Canis lupus familiaris: one gene and its partners. The protein of the gene in region 1 interacts with the protein of each later gene in a pairwise test. Links are inferred from orthologs where the notes say so. Each region holds a gene or a part of one and is shown in the gene's direction. Other genes may lie near its edges.

Region 1 (4,145 bases):
ATGTCAGCTCTGTGGCCCCAGTTAGAATGGTTTGGGTTTGAGGGCACTTTGGGGGTTTGGGGAAACGGAGCCGGGGTGGGGCTAGGGGATGAAGCTCCCTGCAACCAGGACTAGTCAGGGAGGGCTGGAATGCTAGGCCCCAGCAGCGGGGTGGCCCTGGTGAGCCCAGGGGTGAGGGCTGTAGAGCTGCCCTGGGCCAGACCAAGGCTGTTCCTCTCAGCACCCCATAGGCACTGGTGTTCCCCTCTTGGTTCAGCTTCTTACTTGCGGTGCTTTTTCCCCTTCTGGTGTCCCTCTAGGACCATGACCCTGCTCTTCAGAGCCAAGGGCCCCCTTGGAGCAGCTGGCAGCAAACCCAGGATTTGCGTTTTCCTGCTGTAGGAAGGCAGATTGACAAGCCCCTCGGGGTCTGTCCGGCCAGCTTCCCAGTGCTGCTGCATGGCCTTCCCCTCCAGCTATCACTGGTCTGGACTCCTCTGCCCTCCTCGGGGCCTGCACACTGTGTGGCCCAGAGCTGCCTTAACCAGACAAGACTGTCTTCCCTGTCCCCAGTGAGCCCACCCCCCCACCCCCACGAGATCAGCCTTCTCCTCACCATCCCAGACAAAGAAGATGTGGCTCCTCTTAAGCCAAAGCAACATTCTTCCTGCTGACCTTGGACTAGTCACTGAGCTAGTGAGCTGGGCCCCACTTCCTGGGAACTTTGAACCAGAAATTATATTTTGGGGGGGCCTGTCTCTCCTGGCCGTTGTTGGAGATGAGAAGGCAGGCTCCCCAGGTCTTCTCAAGGAGGTTCTTGATGTCTCCCAGATTTCAGGGACTGGAATTAAAACCTTCCCTGGGACCCTAGCATGACCTGTGTGTGTCTGATTTACTTTGCGAGGGAATCAGGGCTCCCCTGGGGAGTGCCTGAGTCAGGTGGGCTCTCCTGGAGTCCCTGGTACCTCCTCTCTCTACCTGGCAGGAGCCCACCTACTCTGAGTTGGGGTATGGGGGGGGCCCTCCCAGCACACCTCCCAGAGGTGGGGGAGTGAGCAAAGTCTGAAGCAACATGTGGCACAGGCCGATCATGTGTCGGGGGTGGGGAGGGTTGTGTGCTCTGTGCTTGGAGCCTGGGTCATGTCTGCACCTGCCCCAGTCACTTGGCAGATTGGTAAGGCAGGCTGGCGGGGCCTGGGAGTGTAGGAGGCAGCTGGCAGCAGCACCATGTGCTGACGACCTCACAACCAAACTCCCCCACCCCCATCCCATTTAGCGCCAAGTGTTAGAACCACCCCCAGAACCTCAGTTAAGCAAAGGGGTTAGTTTCCAAGGAGACACAGCATCCTTTCTCCATGGCAACCGAAAATCCAAAACCCAAGTTAGGCTCGAGAATGAGTCATCTGTGACCAGTAGGGGGTGCCCTCCCACTGGGCTGACGGGGGGCGGGGAGGGCACACAAATGAGCAGTTGACCACAAACTTAATTAAAGGTGCCCCATGGGCAAACTTGGGCCTGTGGGACCCAGATGGGCCCAGCTTAACCCCTTCCCGCCTGCTCGTGTGCCTCGAGGAGGCTGGCGAGGCTTCAGGATGCGCTGTGTGGAGGTGGCAGCCCCACAGCCGGGGCTCGTGGAGTGGCACTGCACGGAGAGGACCCTTGCTCCCTGAGGCTGGGCCTGAACACGGAGGAAGCGGGCACTGCCCGGGCTAAGGGGACACACAAGAGTTAACTGGCGGGGCGTGACAGGGCGAACCGCCCTCAGGAAGTGTTACTCACTGCTGGGAATGTGAGCGCTCTTGCCTTGGGGGCTGGATTCTCTTCCTGAGTCCTGGGAGAAACCGGGAGAAACCAAAGGAGCTCCCAGCCATGGAAACCCCTGGGGAGCCAGGGGCTGGACCTCTTGGAGCCCCCAGCCTCTCCAACTTCACACCTGGGCACCCGGAGAGAGAAAAGTTAGTGAAGTTGGAAGGGCAGCCCCGTGGGACAGGGAGGGATGGCAGAGCAGGGTCTGTCCCAGGGCAGAGGTGGGGGGAAAGGGTTGGGCAAGGGTCCCACCCCCTGGGCCCCTGCTCAGATCTGGTGCCCGCCCTTTAGGCCAGCCCAGGACCCACTGTATGACGTGCCCGGGGCCGGTGGGTGGCAGACAGTTGGGCCCCAGCGGCCCGGGCGCACCGTGAGCCTGCGGGAGCGCTTGCTGCTCACGCGGCCCGTGTGGCTGCAGCTGCGGGCCAGCGCGGCGGCTGCTCTGCATGTGCTGAGGACCGAGCCCCCGGGGGTGAGTCTGGCCCCTGATCCTGGGACTAGCCGACGGAGGCGGGGCGGCGGGGGGGGGGAAGGCTGGACACCGAGGTCCCGAGCCTCCGACCCCTGTCCCTTGCAGATGTTCCTTGTGCGGAAATCTAACACTCGCGGGTGCCAGGCCCTGTGCGTGCGGCTGCCCGAGGCCAGTGGCCCCTCCTTTGTCTCTAGCCACTACATCCAGGAGAGCCCTGGGGGTGAGCAGGACTGGCCTGGGGGGAAGGGGCTGGAAGCAGTCCGGGCCGGGCACAGGGGTGTTTTCTGGAGAACAACCGCACTTCCCGTCCCTCAGGCGTCTCCTTGGAGGGCTCAGAACTCATGTTCCCAGACCTGGTCCAGCTCATCTGCGCCTACTGCCATACCCGGTAAGCCTGGCTGCAGGGTGCCTGGTGTCCGTTGGTCCCAGGTCCCTGGGACATCCTGTCCTCCCAACCTCTGCAGGTTCTGTCAGCCCCCAGTGCCCTGAGCATCCCTCACCCCTGGCTTTCTGTTTCTCTCTCTGGCCTCAGAGACATCCTCCTCCTCCCACTGCAGCTCCCCAGAGCCATCTGCCAGGCAGCCACCCACAAGGAACTGGAAGCCATCTCCCATCTGGGCATTGGTAAGGGCTCTTCTGCTACCCATTGCACAGATGGACAAGCCGAGGCCAAGAAGGAAAGGAAGGCACGTGGATGCAAGGCCTGAGTCAGTGCCTTTCCCTCATTTGGGCACAACTCCCCAAACCTCCCCGAGGCCCCAATTGGTTTCTCTTCCCTAGAGTTCTGGAGCTCCTCCCTCAACACCAGGGCTCAGCAGGGCCCATCTGAAGACCAGCTGCTGCCCCGGCTGAAGCCCCGGCCCCCACAAGAGCTGGACCAGGGTACGGGAGCCGCCCTGTGCTTCTTCAATCCCCTGTTCCCAGGGGACCTGGGCCCCACCAAGCGGGAGAAATTCAAGAGGAGCTTCAAAGTGCGTGTGTCCACGGAGACCTCTAGCCCTCTGTCTCCACCCGCTGTGCCACCTCCCCCGGTCCCCATTCTGCCAGGTGCAGCCCCCAGCGAGACAGACAGGTTACCCCCTCGCCAGCTTCTGCGAAGGGAGAGCTCAGTGGGGTACTGTGTGCCAGGGGGCGCCAGCCCCAGCCTCCCACCCCTACCCTCCCTCCGGGAGGTAGACTGCGGCTCCCCCAGCAGCTCGGAAGAGGAGGGGGCGCCCAGGGCCCACGGAAGCCCAGCAACCTCACCCCGCCTGGGCCACCGGAGGCCCCTGCTGCGGTCCATGAGCGCGGCCTTCTGCTCCCTGCTGGCGCCTGAGCGGCAGGTGGGCCGGGTGGCCACAGCTCTGATGCAGGACCGACAGACGGCTGTGGGCCAGCTGGTGCAGGACCTCCTGACCCAGGTGCGGGCTGGCCCTGAGCCCCGGGAGCTGCAGGATGTCCGAGAGGCGCTGAGCCGGGCTCGGGCCATGCTGAGCACAGAGCTGGGCCCTGAGAAGCTGCTGCCGCCCGAGAGACTGGGTGAGACCCTGGCCCCGGGCTCCACGGGCTCAGCCCCAGAGTCTGTAATTCCAGCTCTTCGCGCTCCCCACCTCTCTCCCACTATTCTCCCGTCTCACCCAGAGATTCCTCCTCCTTTTCATCTCTCTCCCCCTCTGGCTGCACCCCCCTCCCGGGGACGCTGGCCCCCACTTGCGCCCTGCTCCCCTTGACCCTGCCCGCCTCTCCTCCTCAGAGCACATCTTGGAGAAGTCGCTGCACCGCTCCGTGCTCAAACCTCTCCGGCCCATCCTGGCCTCCCGCCTGCGCCACCGGCTTTCTGCCAATGGCTCCCTGGGCCGCCTGGCTGAAGGCCTCCGCCTGGCCCGGGCCCAGGGCCCTGGAGCCTTCG
Region 2 (4,030 bases), on another chromosome or scaffold:
TGTGTTCTCAGAAAATCCTTTAGCTATTTCCATTAGGGGACTTTTGTGAGGTCTCTGTGAATTGGGGATAGAAGGATAGATACGCACTTGCCTGTCTTGCTCCACCCTCCTAGCAGACATCCCCCCCCCACACACACACACACAAAGCACAAATCCGAATGATGGGAGAGGGGAAATTGACACTCCCCCAACCCCACCCCGTACACACACATTCCATTGCACACCTGTCTTAAACTCACATCAAGATTAGCCAAAAGTATGTCTAGAAGTCCCTGGAGCCTAGAAAGCAGTAGGGGATCCCTGGGTCCGGAATAAGGTCCCTGGTAGCCACTGTCCCTGTACCCAACCAGAGTGGATTGAGGCAAATTACCCGGGCTCTTTTTCCAATCGGATATTAATCACCCTGAGAGTTTAGGAAGGGCCTGGCCCAGCTGGGTCCAGCTGGATCTTCAGCCGTGTCTTCAGATTTAGTGTCGTTTTTTCAGCTTTCCAGTCGCTTCTTTACTGCAGGTGAGTTGGAGAAGAGATTAAATTCACTGGACTCCTCCTGTGCAGATACTCTTGCTGCAAGTAAGGCTCAGATACCTGTAGATGACAGTCTGTGCCTTCCCACAGGCTGCCTCGGGTGCCACAGATGGAGCCCTAGGTGCCTTCCTGCAATACAGGGCAACTTCCTGTTTGTGCCTGTGGGTGGAACTTTATGAGTGTAAGGGAAGCCTGGCCATGCTCTGTGGGGGGCCAGAACTGGCAAGTATGCTCACCTGGGTAGGCACCTACTGCGGGGAGGGGGGAAGGGGCTGGCTCTGCTAGGGCAATTCCGACCAGAGGGTGGGGCGGGGTCTGTTTTAGTGAAACCCGAGCCTTCTTTGTCTGCTTCCTAGGGGTTTTCCTTGTTCCTGGGGAATGAGCTGAGAGCCGACCCGGTTTGGCTCCTTACAGGGTAGGGCAGGTGGCAGTAAAGTCCTATCGTCAACTTGGTTAGGCCGGCCAGGTAGTTTAGCTCCCGGTCACGTGCTGTTCGCCCCTTTCCCCAAGTCGAAAACCAAATCCAGAAAGCTGTGAAGTCGGAGGCCAGAGGGGCAACCTGGCCACCACCGAGCTACTGCTGGGCTGGGTACCGGGTCCGCCGTAGAGGGGGTGCTGGGCAGACCACTCCCCTCCCTGGGTCGGGGGCGCGGCCTCAGCCGCCCCGCCCCGCCCCGTTCCACCAGGCCGGGCCCGGCGGGCGCCGGGAGTCCGGAGCCCGGAGCTGGCTGGGAGCCGGCAGATCTGCGGCGGAGAGGTGCCGGCGCTCGGGCAGGAGCTGGGCGGGAGCGGCAGCGGCAGCGGCAGCGGCGGCGCAGGTGGCCTGGGTGAGTGGTGGGGCCGCGGAGGTGTGGGCACTCCGGCCTCCCGCACATGCCGGGTCGGGAGCGAACTTTCCCGGTCTGGGGAAGCTAGGGGGTGGAGTGAGGAGAGGGTCCCACACTGGGGTCCGGGGGGCCCGCAGGCGAGGAGCCTGAACAGGGAACCGACACGGAAACTCACGCCAGTGGGTGCACACGCGCGCGCGCCGAGACCCACGCACATAGGACACACGTGCACTCAGGAGAGGACGCGCCCAGTGGGTTACCCTTGCAGTCCCTGGAGCGGCGCCACTGGCCCGCACGGAGCCCCAGCTGACAGGGTGCTCTGCTGTCCCGTACTTGGCAGGGGTGGGAGAAGGGGCTGCCCGGTGACCGCCGACGGGGGCGGGCCGGGTGGGACACCTCCGGAGGTTCCTGCTTCCTGGCCGCCCACAGGTGAAGACTAAGACGTAAACAGGCGCCGAGCACGTGATCGCTTCGCAGACGAGTGGGCTGTGCTTCCCTCGCCCCCGCATCAGGGCGAGGACCTCCCTCCCCAACCCTGGGCGAGTCTCCGAGGTCTCCTGTCGGGCCGTATTCCATTCTCCGCCTCAAGAAATGTTAAGCCTTCCCCCTGAAATGGGAGCACAACGCCCCCTGGAGTCCGGGTAGCGCAGGCCTGGAGACTCTTGGGCTCGGTGGGGTTACCTGGGCTCCTTGCCTTCCTTCACCCGAACGAACACGTTCGTGGGGCCCTCATCCCGGAAGGTATCGGAGGAGGGCGCTATTTCGGGTGGCAGTATACGGCAGCTCCGGCCCCATACCTCCAGTCTGGGGAGCAGCTGCCTGAGAGCCGGTGGGTCCCTTTCCTACCACCACCCCTCCTTGCAGAACTGGGAGCTCCTCCCTTCAACTGTAGGAGCCGAAAACCCACTCGTGCGAGAGTGGGAGTCCTCCTTTCCCAGAGAATGCATAAAGGTAAATGTCCTCGAAGTACGGGAGTGGGCCTATCCCCCTCCCCTAGAAGGGAGGATGAGCCCCCTCCCCCAGGGAATGAGGGAGTGGGCAGCGGCCCTCGCCTCCCTCTCTGCCCCACCCTCCACCCCTACACACACGCTGAGCCCAGCTGCTGCCTGAGCTTCCGGGCTGGCTGCCAGAAAGGGGAGGAGGCTCCTGGTGCCCCAAGAGGCTGGGATCAGGGCAAGGCCAGAGGAGGGGGTCTCTACTGGGGAGGGGGGCTCAGTCTATTCTTATGTGGCTCAGGGTCTGGGGTGAGCCTGAGGGTGGTTGGGCTATGCCTCCCTTTCCAGGGAAAAAGAAAGAAAAACAACCCTTTCCATAGAGCTAAAAATAGAGCTGAGAGCTGGCCAGGGCTGTGGCCTGGAAGGGGGGGATGCTCCTTCCTGGGGCAGAGGAGCTCTGGCAGGCCTTGGCCTTGGGGGTGGGGATGCAAGTAGGGGGTGGGAGGCCTGTCCTTGGCTGGGGGTGTGGGCATCAGCTGACCTGACCAGAGACCCCTCAGGGGGGAAAAAAGTCTTTGTGGTAAAAAATGCTCGTGAAACACCATGGGTATGTGTAAGTTGTCTGACTGAATGAGACCACCAATGTGTTAAAGATGTTTAGGAGAGGAAGCCCATTTAAGATTGTGACTCGGTAGGAAGGACTCTGAGTCCTTGTGAAAGATTGTGCACAAGGTGTGTGACACCCAGTGTGTCTGTGTGTAAGTTGGCCTGAAAGATTATGGAAGGAAGGAACCTGGAATCACGTGATGGAGGAGACTGTGATTGTGGCTGCGTGGGACCGAATGTGGGAAAAGTCGTGTGGGTGTTAGGAAGATTGTGTTGTTTGCGAGAGGGTGAGACTCTCTGTGACCCTGAGAAGACCGAGGGATGTTGTCAGCTGTGGGACTGGTGTAGGTTCTGACTGTAGGTTTGGACCGCCTCACCCCAGTGATTGTCAGGGGGCCAGGGGCTGCCTCTCTCCCAGCAGTGACCTCTCTTAGCAAATGATTCTCAGGGAAGGTTGGGGAGCAGACGGCCGCGCGCGAGGCAGGCCTGGGCTCGCGGGGGGCAGGCTACAGTGCTGGGCAGTCCGGTAGGGGCCCCCAAAGTTGCTGGGGTGGCGGTGTATCCTGCGAACGCGCCGCCTGGTGGCGCCGCCTCCGCAAATCCGAATCTGCCTCCCTCCACCGCTGGGGGTGGGGCAGGCACGGCCCGAGCCCGGGTCCGCGACCCGGCCCTGGGGAGCAGGGGCCCGGCGGCCGGGGCGGGTGGGGGGGCCGGCCCTCCGCGCCCCGCTCGGGACTCCGAAGCCGGAGTGTGTCTTGCGGGGGAGGCTTCGACCGGAGGAGCGGAGGGGGAAGGGCGGCCGCCGTGGCGCCGGGCCCTTTGTGCTGGAACAATGACCAGCTGCCGCTGGCCCCGGGGCCCGGGTAGGGGTGGAGGGTGACCCGCCGCCGCCGCCGAGTCCCCGAGCCCACCGGGCGTGGGGGGTCCCGAGGCCCGCGGCGCGGCCCCGCGTGACGCGGGGTGCTGCGCGTGTCCGCGCCGGGGCGGGGACGCCCCTCGGACCCCTCCCCCGCGCTGCGCCGCCCACTCGGGCCGGACGGGGGCCGGTCGGGCCGGGGGCGCCGCGGAGGCGGGGCCGGGCCGGGCCGGGCCGGGCGCCTCCGAGTGGCCGCGCGCGGGCCGGAGCCGGGCGGCGCG
Region 3 (3,538 bases), on another chromosome or scaffold:
AATAATGGAAATCAACAAAATTGAAAATATAAAATCCATAGAAAAATCTGGTTTTCAGAAGATCAAAGTGACAAATCTAGCCAGAATGACCCGGTAAAAAAGAGCAAAGACACAAATCAACAATATTAGTAATGGAAGAGAAACCATCACTCCAGATCTTACAGATATTGAAAAGATAATAAATACCGTATAACAAAATACTATACTATAAAGAAACTTTATACCAATAAATTGAGCAAGTTAGATGAAATAGACATATGTCTTAAAAGACTCACAAACTACCAAAACTCAAGAAATAAATAGACAACCCGAATAGTGCTGTATCTGTAAAATTCAACTGGTTGTAAAAATCTTCCCTCAAAGAACAATCCCAGGTCCAGGTGGATTTGTTGGCGAATTATACCAAACTGATTGTGCTGAAAGTATTCCAGAAAATTGAAGACGAGAGGACTCTTTCCAACTCCTTATATGAACCCAACATTACTCAGATACCAAAGCCAGACAGATATATAAAAATACTATAGTTGAGTAGTTCTTGTGAACACAGATGTAAAAATTCTTAAAACTTGAACAAATAGAATTTAACAGTACACCGAAGAGAAGGACAGTGCATTGTTACTCAAGTGGGGTTTATTCCAGAAATGCAGTGTTGATTTAACAGGCAAAAATGAATCAACAGAGTTCACCGTTATTAACAGACTAATGTGGGAAAATCACAATCTCAGTAGATGAAGAAAAAAAGGATTTGAGAAAATTTAACATACTGTTGAAAACTTTACAGATGGACTAGCAGGAACTTTGTTAACATGATAAAGGGCATCTGCAGTGAAACCCTGCAACTAACAGTGTGCTTCATGGTGAAGGACTATATGCTGCTGGCACGGCCCTGAATGTGCTAGGCTGTGAGGTCCGGCCTGAAAAAGAAATGAGAGGCATCAGAAAGGAAGCAACAAAACAGTCTTTAGTAGCAAATGACATGATAGTGTAGGAAGGCCTATGGAATTTACAAAAGAACACCCAGATCAGTGAGTTTAACATATTCCCAGGGTATAACATAAATACAGAAAAATCTTGATCCTATTTTTGTAGAGGAAAAGGTTACATCACTGAGAAAAAGACCAGAAGAATGTGGTTCTCTACGGGAGACCACATTTAAATGTACACCCCTCTTCCAATCTGCAGTTTCTGACTTCTCTGCAAGTGTTTACTTTTGTGGTAATGACAGCAATAAAAGTCTTTTTTTTTTTTTTTTTTTAGAAAAATAGTTTTCAGCCACGCTATATAAATGTGATGTAGTTTAGCAGTTTTAGGTAAATGTCATGACTTCAGCCTTTTATACTGAAAACGTATGGGACATTACATTCATCTTATGTTTCTTATCCTGTCCTACTATGGTAGGTTGTTACCTCGGCCGCGCTTTACCTGCTAGTATAAGGAAGGCATTGTGATCGTAATCATTACTCATTTTTCTCATGTATTTATTGTGAGTCTCCTCTGTACCAGGGATTGGGGAATGCAGAGATGAGGAAGACCCATGGCCTCTGGAGGCTTCTGTCCTCTCTGTCCTCACCTCTTTGTTGTTTTCTCTCTAGGCTGGTTGTATTTAAGCTTTTAGTTCCTGGAACTTGGAAAGTGGCTCTCACACATGCCATTTCTTTTGTCAGGGATACTTTCTTACCCTACCCCCACATAACTCCATACTCTTTATTTAGTTCTTACTTTAAGTGTCATTCCTCAGGGGAGCTTTCCCTGATCTGTCCAACAGGGTTATAGAGTCTACTAACACCTTGTACTTTTCCTTCCCAGAATTTATCACTGTTGTATTTGCTACTTTTTGAGTACTCACCAGACTGAAATTGTGTTGCATGGTAATATTTTTGTCACAAATATATTCTGAGTTGTTCTGCGGAGCTGGGCTTCGGTATGGATTGAGCTTGTAAGTCTCAGTTCATTTTATGACAAAGCAGCTTGGCCCGTGGCTGGATTAGCAGCACAGTCTGTGGCCAAGGATTAGATGGAGCAGACCTGATTTTTAATTCTGTACCTCAAATACAACTCTTGGAATTTCAGGTAACGCAGGAAGAAGGACAGCAGTTAGCACGACAACTTAAGGTAACATACATGGAGGCGTCAGCCAAGATTAGGATGAATGTAGATCAAGCTTTCCACGAACTTGTCCGGGTTATAAGGTAAGTGAAACAGATCTTAGCAATTTGTTTTGGGGTGCTTGGTGGCTCAGTTGGTTAAGCTTCTGCCTTCAGCTCAGGTCATGATCTCAGGGTCCTGGGATTGAGCCCTGGGTCTGGCTCCCTGCCCAGCAGGGTGTCTGCTTCTCCCTCTCTGCATGCGCGCGCGCTCTCTCTCTCTCTCTCTCTCTCTCTCAAATAAAGTCTTTCGCAAAATGAAAAGAAGTTTGTTCTAATTTATTGAATTTGACAGGTAGTCACACTATGCTTTTTAAAACTGTTAGCTGAGAAAGAAATTACCATTGAATATTTTTAATAAGAGAGGAGACTATATGTAGAAGTGCTTCTGTGCTAGGAGTTAATGCCCATGATGTGTATTAAAATTTTTAATTAAGACACACTGTATACTACGTACTTCCTACGTATAAAGCTGAATTTAATTATATTGAAGTAAAAAGTACACATAGGGATTTTGAGAAGAAACTATCCTGCTTTCAAAGATGTCAAGTGGCATGAAGATAGGGATGGCAGTAGCTAACATATGAATGGAAATTTCTGCCAGATACTGTACCTAGTACTTCACATGCCATATTACATTGAATTCTCACCACAGTCCAAAAGCTAAATACTATCATTTATCTCCACTTTTGGATAAGAAAGAAGGTACGCAAAGGTGAGTTAACTTGCTCAGAGTTTTGGCTTTAAATGGCCCAAAGGTGTGGGACTCAAATCATATCTCTGATTCTACAGCCTGTGCTCTTCAGCTTCGCTTCTTACCCATCTCCTCGCAGGCTGAGGTAGTAGAGAGTTGGACCTCCCATTCAAGGGGTGAAGTATGATAGCTCAGATAACAAAGGGTTTTTCTGCTTGTTGGTCTAGAAGGCCCTGGCGGTTCAGAAAGTGTTAATGGTTCCAGGAAGCTTGAGGTGATGGGTGAGGTTACCTGGAGTTAGTTTCTGTGTGAGAAAGATTGAGTTGCTTTATATAGTGGGAGGGGTTTGATTTGATTATTTTTAGTCTTGGTGGCTTGGCCTCTACTTGACCCTGGGCTTTTCTAGATCTGCTGGTCTCTCTGTCTGACAGGTATGTGGATAGGGCTGGTGTTAATTATGTATCTAAGACGAATCAACATCTGAGCTATGGGCTTCCTGTGCTTTTTTAGCCCCTTGCCTGGGCATTCTCTTGTGGGGAAAGAAAAGTAAGGATTATAGTTTTTTTATTTCTTAGTAGTTTGTTAAAAGTACTGAGTTCCATTTTTAAATGAATACAGAGTTTCAGTTTTACAAGATGAAAAGAGTTCTGGAGGTGGATGGTTGTACCACATTGCGAATATATTTAATACTACTGAACTG

What was found.
Region 2: the proteins of RIN1 (region 1) and LZTS2 interact in binary tests that used the Homo sapiens proteins (3 or more experiments, as listed by UniProt). The two-hybrid records come from large-scale screens. The link is inferred for Canis lupus familiaris from reciprocal best matches to the Homo sapiens genes RIN1 and LZTS2.
Region 3: the proteins of RIN1 (region 1) and RRAS2 interact in binary tests that used the Homo sapiens proteins (3 or more experiments, as listed by UniProt). The link is inferred for Canis lupus familiaris from reciprocal best matches to the Homo sapiens genes RIN1 and RRAS2.

The regions. Positions count from the first base shown.
Region 1 is NC_049239.1:51,476,900-51,481,044, forward strand, and holds the start of RIN1 (ras and Rab interactor 1), read left to right. Parts: upstream 1-1,340; 5' UTR 1,341-1,848; coding exon 1,849-1,934; intron 1,935-2,076; coding exon 2,077-2,257; intron 2,258-2,362; coding exon 2,363-2,477; intron 2,478-2,572; coding exon 2,573-2,645; intron 2,646-2,789; coding exon 2,790-2,881; intron 2,882-3,037; coding exon 3,038-3,775; intron 3,776-3,989; coding exon 3,990-4,145. Other genes in the region: BRMS1 (breast cancer metastasis-suppressor 1), read left to right, coding at 300-307. UniProt on the Homo sapiens protein: Ras effector protein, which may serve as an inhibitory modulator of neuronal plasticity in aversive memory formation. Can affect Ras signaling at different levels. First, by competing with RAF1 protein for binding to activated Ras.
Region 2 is NC_049249.1:13,868,927-13,872,956, forward strand, and holds the start of LZTS2 (leucine zipper putative tumor suppressor 2), read left to right. Parts: upstream 1-1,195; 5' UTR 1,196-1,352; intron 1,353-1,781; exon of another isoform or gene 1,782-2,303; intron 2,304-3,399; coding exon of another isoform or gene 3,400-4,030. Other genes in the region: proline-rich protein HaeIII subfamily 1-like, read right to left, coding at 3,400-4,030. UniProt on the Homo sapiens protein: Negative regulator of katanin-mediated microtubule severing and release from the centrosome. Required for central spindle formation and the completion of cytokinesis.
Region 3 is NC_049242.1:37,646,664-37,650,201, reverse strand, and holds part of RRAS2 (ras-related protein R-Ras2), read left to right. Parts: intron 1-2,070; coding exon 2,071-2,189; intron 2,190-3,538. UniProt on the Homo sapiens protein: GTP-binding protein with GTPase activity, involved in the regulation of MAPK signaling pathway and thereby controlling multiple cellular processes. Regulates craniofacial development.